Linked DNA regions of Nothobranchius furzeri. The protein of the gene in region 2 interacts with the protein of the main gene of each other region in a biochemical or structural test. Links are inferred from orthologs where the notes say so. Each region holds a gene or a part of one and is shown on either strand. Other genes may lie near its edges. The genes, in order: msh5 and msh4.

Region 1 (3,924 bases), on a different chromosome or scaffold from region 2:
TAACCAACAGATGTACAAACACTTTCAAATACAGGACAGTGATGGATACGTAGCAGAGAATCAGCTTCTGCAGAGCTAGGTGGAATAGGATGAGAAACTTGGCTCACCATCAGGGGCGAATCAAAAGTGATACAGGAGGAAAGGTAGGACAGTTTGTCTCTTTCTGAAATGTTGGCTGGAAGGAAAGGCAGGTGGGCAGAGAGAAGCCTCTGTTTACCAACCTCCAGACCTGTAACGTTCAAAATCAAAACCCTAATGAAGTGGTTATTTGTAAAAAACGAAGACTGAACAGAGAACTACAGCCTGGCAATTACAGGAGGTGTATAAATATTGCATTAGAACAACCATTTACCAAAGTCTGCATATGGGTAAGTTACCACCTCTGGCTTGTAGTGTTGGTTGGAATCTGAAACAAAATCAGACTAATTATAAAAATGTGACTAACAGATGCCCCGTTTTTATTTGTTGTTAAGGAGGCTCAGTAAAGATAAGGAGGAGCACCATCACAATCACTCTTCTTCTTATCACTGTGTCAAACATCCTTAATCTCATTAAATTCCCTTGACCCAGAAACATCTCGTTCCACATCCCTTCAAAACAAAATGCTCTTCTACAGTTTCTGACTCCGCTTAACCAACCAAAGACATTTGTTTAGCGGCGCTCACCGAGGCTTTGTAAGTAGCGAGTCAAGCACCGTTCCTGCTTTGCACTGGTGATGATTACCTGGGGCTTAACCTCCTCAATGACTGAAGATTAAACAACATTTGACGTACATTACAGTCAAATAACAGAACAAAGGAAAAGTAAAGCTTGGTGAGTGTGATGTTTCTATTGGAAGTAAGTGAATAATTTACCTCTGGCCAACAGGTGAAGATCGTGGTTGTCAGGAGTGTCAGCCATGTAGTGTAGAGAGGAGTCCTCGCTGTCGTAAAAGCAGAGACCCACCTGCCCATGATGCACCAAAACACTCAACAAAACCTGGAAACAAACACGTTAATTATAAAGTTTTAATGCTAATTTTGAAAGCATCTAGAAATCCACTGGTATCTGCAGCCATTTTACCACATATATGTCAGTTTCTTCCTCTTCATCCTCATTCCTGCCAGGGCCACCATAAACCATCACTCTCCCTCCTTCTCTTGAATGTTCTTGAGCTGCTGCCATAATTCTACACAGAATGGTTCATTAAAAGTGATATTAGGCTCATTTTTGAGTAGTTTATCTGGTCCTCTAGTGAATGTTAAAACGTTTTATCACTACTGACTAGATTGGGCTCTGTGTTGCTGTCAAATGTGTTGTTTGTAGTAGTGTAAGCCGAAAAAGTAATCATTTCTATCAGAACTACATCCCACTGCTTCCACCAGTCTGTAACCCTCAAAAACCAACTGATCCTCAGAGAGTCGAAAGCTGTGGGTTGTAATCGGGTCACAGTTCAGTTCTGATAAAAATGATTATTTTTCGTAGTCTACCTAGCTAAAACAATCCACAATGGCAGGATATTCCTCGCACGTCGTTAATTCGTTCCTCGCCCACCACAACCAACGGGTACTCCTCGCCACTTTAGCGACTTTGTAGTCCCTCCAACTTTTCTTTTGAAAATTAAATACAAGAAACAAAATACAATATGGGCAGGACATTTAAGACATACCAAAACAAAAATATAGTAAATCAGACATATTCAAACTAAAAATAACAGTAGTAAAATACTCATTTGCATTATTTACTCTTCTGAGGCCATTAAAGCTACAGAAAAAGGTTAATCTATTCTTTGGACATCCTCTTGGGTAACCAAACACTGCCATGTGAACTGTTTAGAGAACCTTTAATGATTTACAACCTGATTTTTAATCATTTTTCCTCCTTTTTATTATTATCCTTTAAAATTAATTTTTATTGTTTACTGTGCCTTGAGATTTTATCTAGAGAGGCGCCATATAAAATCTTTCTTCTTCCTTAAAGCACGATGTATGCGTTATAATCTACTATGATACAAATTATTAACATAGTAAAACCTGATACTAATTTGTAAGCCAGTGGTTCCCAAACTTTTCAGCTTCAGACTCCCAAATAGAGCCTAACTAGTCAGACACATTTACATAAGGCTCATGTGTCCCCGGAAATAAGAAAAAATGAATGCAAGTCAATGAGGCTATTAAAATTAGTTTAAATTTGGGGAAATTACCGTTACATCGTGTATACTTATCAAACCTTTAAATATATGTTATCTCAGCATCGGTTATGGACAGATTAAGAGTGGTCCTAACATAGATATCATGTATATTAACTATGGGTCCTAAACCCCAACCGTAGGAAAGTACGCCATTTTCTAAGTCACATATGCTACACCGGAAGTAGCGCTGAAAGAGGTTGAACTTCATATCTGACGTTTAAGTAAACCTAAAAAATCCGAAAACTAGTCTTATTTTGTTATTTAGTTTTAATAACTCATTACCTACACTTTAATTGTTGTTAAAAAAAGTAACTTCATTATTAAGTGAACGTCGCAGCAGTTAGCTAGTTGATGCTAGGTGAATGACATACGCTAGTCTAATTTAGCAAGATATATTATAAATATATATTTATTGCAGTATCAGACTACATAACATGTACTTACATAATTAGTTGGGACTTTAGTAGCGACACCTACATCTCATACATACTTTTTATTTTATAACAGCTTGCATTGGGAGATTAGCTCAACTTACTATAAATGTGCAGCTTGCCACGTGCCTTGTTTCAGCCCTCTGTTTCCATGGCAACGGGACCATCCGACTAAGTGAGTAAGCTTGGGAAAGCCCAATGAGAATGATATACATATAGTTTTACATAGCTTTACTTTTATGTTGACAAAATGAGCTTGGGAGCTCATATATGGGTAGTTAAGTGCATTTATCCTAATATTGATGCAGTCCACCACCACCCCCCCCCCCCCCCTTTTATTTTTGTTTACAGGTAAATTCACCATCCACAGCTGCATAATTGACAAAATTACAGTCAGGTGATCAAATTCAAATAATTATTTGCATCAACAGATATGACTATTAACACAAATAATGAATTATGTGAGTACCTTTTCCGAGCTATACAATGTCAGTAGCCTGTAGTGTTTTGTAAACAAACAGCAAAACAATGAAATTGCAAAAACATATTTTATTATAAATTTAGGAAACATATTGCTTACACAGTAAGGAATTTGCAAATGCATTCAAAACGTTATCAAAATACCATGCATCACAAACAAAAGATACAACTAAAGAAATAGTTTTTTGAAAATGTCATATTTATATCAAATCAACCAGAAATGCCTTATTTGGCTTTAATGCTGTAAACGCTAAAGCATGCTGATTGCACGTGAATGTTCATGAAAATTAGAAACAAGAAAGCAGGTAACGCTGGAGGAAAGGTGGAAGAGGCAATTTTTCAGCTTGGTCCTGTCGTTGCTGTCCTAAATGCTGACAAATTGACAGTCCACATAAAGCCATCAGGGCTGGAGGATTACCTAAGAAAAAATGGACAAATGTTAAGTATTAAAGCATTTTTAAATTATACAGTTTATTTTAGTTGGTGATACTCACTTGTGGTGCCGTTAAGATAGCGCAATCGTATGCTGGCTCCTCCTCTCACACTGCTTATTGCTGGGAAGAGTTCTACTCCACTAGGAAGGTCCCTAAAAGCTACGCCAAGGAAGCTTCCATCAACAAAATACCCCAGAGTCCCTGCATCTGCATCCAGGACCAGCAGGACACGCTCGGGAATGAGAAGAGGGCCTTCTGCCTCCTTTGTGGAATGTGAATTAGAAGATTGTGGTCTGAAATTGTTTGCAGCCCCAGAGCGACACCTTCTACTTTTATCTGGGTAGCACTCCAGAGTTTGCCCACCGTGCCAGAGCTGATTGGTCTTAAGCTCCCATCCCCAGGAACGTGA
Region 2 (3,924 bases):
ATCTCCCTCAGGGCTTCTTCACAGCGTCCGTTCATCTTCATCAGGTCTGCGGTGGTGAAGCCATAGTTGTTCTTGTGCTTGGTGACCTGAGATGGAAGATCTAACTCTCAGTTCTGGTCTGTTTGCTGTCTTGGTGCAATTTTGTTACACGATAATTCACCTTGATGAACTCTGGGGGAAGTTTGCCCTCGGGCAAAACAACACCGTCGAGTTTCATTTGGATGAAGAAACCTCGAGTTGTGCTGAAGCTGGTGCGCATCGGCAAGCCGTAGTCCTCTCCCATCTGGTTCACGAGCCCTGTGCGGAGCAGCGATGCACGCTACGACTGCATGATACAAAAACACAACAAGGCGACACCACGCACTCAACATCCGGCACAAACACCTGCAATGTCGTCGACTATCTCCGTGTAGGCCCTGCGGGCGATGTCGAGGAACTCGTTGATGTTGGGGCGCACTGCGTAACACTTCTGGGTGCGCATGTTCAGGCTGCCTTTCAGATACGTGGTGTTGTCGTTTATCACCGTCTTGATTTGCTCCAGGATCACGTCGAATCTAAACCAGGAACGACACAGCTCACAGCGGTAAAACCAACGACTTTACAGAATTATAAAAACAGCTCGATACCTGTTGTCTTCCAGCGCGGCGCTGTAAGCCTTCAGCAGAGATGTTCTGCAGTCCGTCAACAACGTCTGAGCAGTAATTAAAAACGTAATCAGCCTTTTATATTAACTGTTGGACGATTACATTTTTACCAAATAGCAACAGTTACAGACCCTTAGCTGTGGCACCAGATCCAGTGTGTGTTTGAGCTGAATGACGTGTGTAATCTTAGCTTCAGCAGCTTGAACCTGTCAGTGAAACATGCGACGCTTAAAAATCCATAAAATACACAGAAAGTTAAAAACCAGAAACAAATATTTACTGTGCAGCGTGAAACTAGAGGACTCACCGTTTCCTGCTTTGGGACCTGGACCAGAACAGACAGCAGCCGGTCAACATCGAGGAAATGGCCGATGGCTAAAGAGAGCAAACACTGTGTCACTAACATGTAAAAACAGTAAAAGAGCGAGTCGAAACGTTTTTTTTTCTGCATCTCTTGACCATTCTTCAGTCCAAAGAAGAGCTCCTCATTTTGCAGGAGCTCTTGTATGGCATCCAAGCGGATGTTGATCGTATCCACATCAACTAGAGGCTCTAGAATATTAGAGCGAAGTCTTCTGGCTCCACCAGGGGTTTTTGTGTGGTTGAGGACCCCTAAAAGGGTCTGTTCACTCCTATAAAAAGCAACAAAAACACACAGAATCACAGAGTAAAACAGGTTTAAAGCCGATTCGTTCTTACCTGTGGTCTCTGTTGTTGACCACTAACTCTAAGTTAGCAGCAGATGCCGAGTCAATCATAGCTGTCTGCTCACTCCCTTTGAAGCTCACTTTGAGTGACTTTGCAGCATAAAGAGAGTTCTGGAGAAACTCTAAATATTTCAGCAAAGAAGCTGCAGACGCTAGGCAGTAATACCTAAAGAGATGATGATACAGAGCAAATAAAAAACTGCTGATTTATTTTTGTGCATGAATGACTTACTTGGCCTGCACTTCCATCAGGACAGTGTTGAATTCTGGAGCACACAGCTGCTGGATGTACTCCAGTCCTTTCTTTTCATTAAAATACTTCCGTTGGATCGCAGTAAAAGTCACACCCTGATGAGCAAAAGTAAATAAATAATTACGTTGGTTATGAGATGATCCTGGGTTAATTCACCGCAACCACGAGTTAAATATTTGTACCGGGAAATTCTCAGTGATCAGTTTGAACAGCTTGGTCCTTTTTCCCTTCTCACTGGCTGTGTCTGGCATCAATATTTCCACTGGCATCAAGATATGAATCTTTGTTATAACCTGCAGAAAAATAAGACGGTGGAGCTATGATTCCTGTATCTTCTGTTCTCCTTCCAGTGTTGGTAGTATATGGACTGAGTTACCTTGGCATATGTTCCTGTGTCTGCAAACTGAGAAAGTACAAGCTCTGGATATTTCAGGTTGAAACTGGCCATGCCGATCTCTCCCCTTGCAAAACCACGGCCTTCAACCACAGCTACAATCACAGTGGGACCAGAGCTTGTAGATCCTGATGAGCAACTGGCTCCTGTGGGGAAAGGGGAATGCTTTAAATGCAAAACTCCAAATAAACTTTTGGGTTGATGCTCCGGCTGGGTGAGGCAGTGGTGGTGGTGTTGGGTGAGAACCTGTGGGCCCTGCAGAACCTGGTGTCCTTCTGACTCTTGGTGTTTCTCCACAGTGAAAAGAGGAGCTGTCTGAGGTGGACACGAGGAGTGATGAAGCTGTCCTCCCAGCCCTGGAGCTGTTAGGATGCTGGCCTACATGAAGACAAGGCTGTTATTATTTCATAAAGTCAAACACAAATACAAAATGTAACCTTGTAGCTTCATTGTTGACGCCAAGTCAAAGCTAGTGGTCTCTAACTTCTAGTCACTTAAAATAAATTTGGTTATTTAAATTTCTGTTTTAAATCAGTCACCTGAAGCCATTCCCGGTTGGGCTGGACCATGACTTGATTTAGATATGCTCTCATCTGAACTTTGAGGAGAAAGAGCTGAGCAAAGTGATGCTGGATCACAAGAAGAAGTGGTAGTTTGATTCGGTCCTCTGCTCGCGGCTGTCCTCCGGACTTGTCCACGTTCTGAGGCGTCACCACTCGTTACCTCCTCTGTGCTGCTGTGATACATTTTAAAACCTCAAAAACACTCGATAATGGACCGATATATCGTTATTACTTGTTAAATGTATTTTTACGCTTAAACAAACTGTAAAACAGTTTTTTTTTTCAAATCAAACAAACAAAAAACTCTTGTTGCTAGCTAGCGACTAAACTAAATGGGCGCGCGACCCTTCTCTGTTCACCAGTTAGCATCTGATCTGCGCATGTCAATAAATAAATAAATAATCATAATTACCGCAAACTAATAATAATTTGCATAGTGTAATGTCTAGTTTAGCTTTATGAACGCTGCCTGTAGAAACTACTTGTCTCCAGTGGGGGGTGGGAAATTCCTAACTATAGAAAGACAGATACTAAAAAACGGATGTTTTATTTAATTTATGTCAGGATTTTATATTTTTATTGTTAAATGTAAACACCCCAAGGATTATTGTTTAAAACAAAATGTGTACATTTTAAAAGTAATCTACATGTTTGTTTGAATGTCTTTGTGTTTATTAGATGTAGTTGGGTATTCATTGCTCTTGAACTACTAATAGTATATCTTTGACATGATTAGAAACTACAAACTTATGTTTGTAAAAATTTGCACTAAACGCAATTCAAAAAATACAACACTCAGGCGCAAACAGAACAAAATTATCCTACACTAAAAGACGGAACATTAAAACGCATGCTATGTTTTGTAAAAGCTTTCTTTGATTAAATAAAGTTAACTGTGTTTTTGTACCAGGAGAATATACATTTTTTTCTTTTGATCGTTTTAAATAGCACAGAAAACACATAATTTGAAGCTGGATGATAGAAAATGTGTTTTTTTAAGCCATCGTGTCTGTTAGCTTCGGTGTCGGTAATCCACATAATAAAAAAGTCCAAATGTTTCTCAAAATCTCAATTTCAAATGTGCACGGAGCACGCTACACAAGGCTCTTATTCTGAAAGGAAAAATCAAGAACCGGAAGTTGTTTTCATTTCCGGTTTGAGCCAACATGGCGACGAACACGGATGACAGCAAGTATTTCGTGAGAGAAATTGAGAAAAATGACGGTTGTAGCTTAAGGCTGAAGCAGTGCTACATAGGGGATGTTGGTTGTGTGGTCTGGGACGCGGCTATTGTTCTCGCTAAGTATTTAGAGACGAAACAGTTTTACGAGCCGACTTCAGGAGTCAACGTGTGGTCCGGAAA

Evidence for each region.
Region 1: the proteins of msh4 (region 2) and msh5 form a complex in vitro, tested with the Homo sapiens proteins (2 studies listed by BioGRID). The link is inferred for Nothobranchius furzeri from reciprocal best matches to the Homo sapiens genes MSH4 and MSH5.

What each region holds. Positions count from the first base shown.
Region 1 is NC_091745.1:79,204,496-79,208,419, forward strand, and holds the start of msh5 (mutS protein homolog 5), read right to left. Parts: upstream 2,902-3,924; 5' UTR 2,706-2,901; exon of another isoform or gene 2,615-2,705; intron 1,169-2,614; 5' UTR 1,165-1,168; coding exon 1,063-1,164; intron 979-1,062; coding exon 855-978; intron 747-854; coding exon 666-746; intron 407-665; coding exon 353-406; intron 230-352; coding exon 108-229; intron 1-107. Other genes in the region: SPRY domain-containing SOCS box protein 1, read right to left, coding at 3,369-3,499, 3,576-3,924.
Region 2 is NC_091758.1:32,017,787-32,021,710, reverse strand, and holds the start of msh4 (mutS protein homolog 4), read right to left. Parts: upstream 2,868-3,924; 5' UTR 2,746-2,867; coding exon 2,538-2,745; intron 2,422-2,537; exon of another isoform or gene 2,377-2,421; coding exon 2,245-2,376; intron 2,145-2,244; coding exon 1,981-2,144; intron 1,898-1,980; coding exon 1,787-1,897; intron 1,700-1,786; coding exon 1,584-1,699; intron 1,518-1,583; coding exon 1,344-1,517; intron 1,277-1,343; coding exon 1,104-1,276; intron 1,020-1,103; coding exon 952-1,019; intron 851-951; coding exon 776-850; intron 692-775; coding exon 627-691; intron 555-626; coding exon 385-554; intron 298-384; coding exon 161-297; intron 87-160; coding exon 1-86. Other genes in the region: vcpkmt (protein N-lysine methyltransferase METTL21D), read left to right, coding at 3,728-3,924. UniProt on the Homo sapiens protein: Involved in meiotic recombination. Required for reciprocal recombination and proper segregation of homologous chromosomes at meiosis.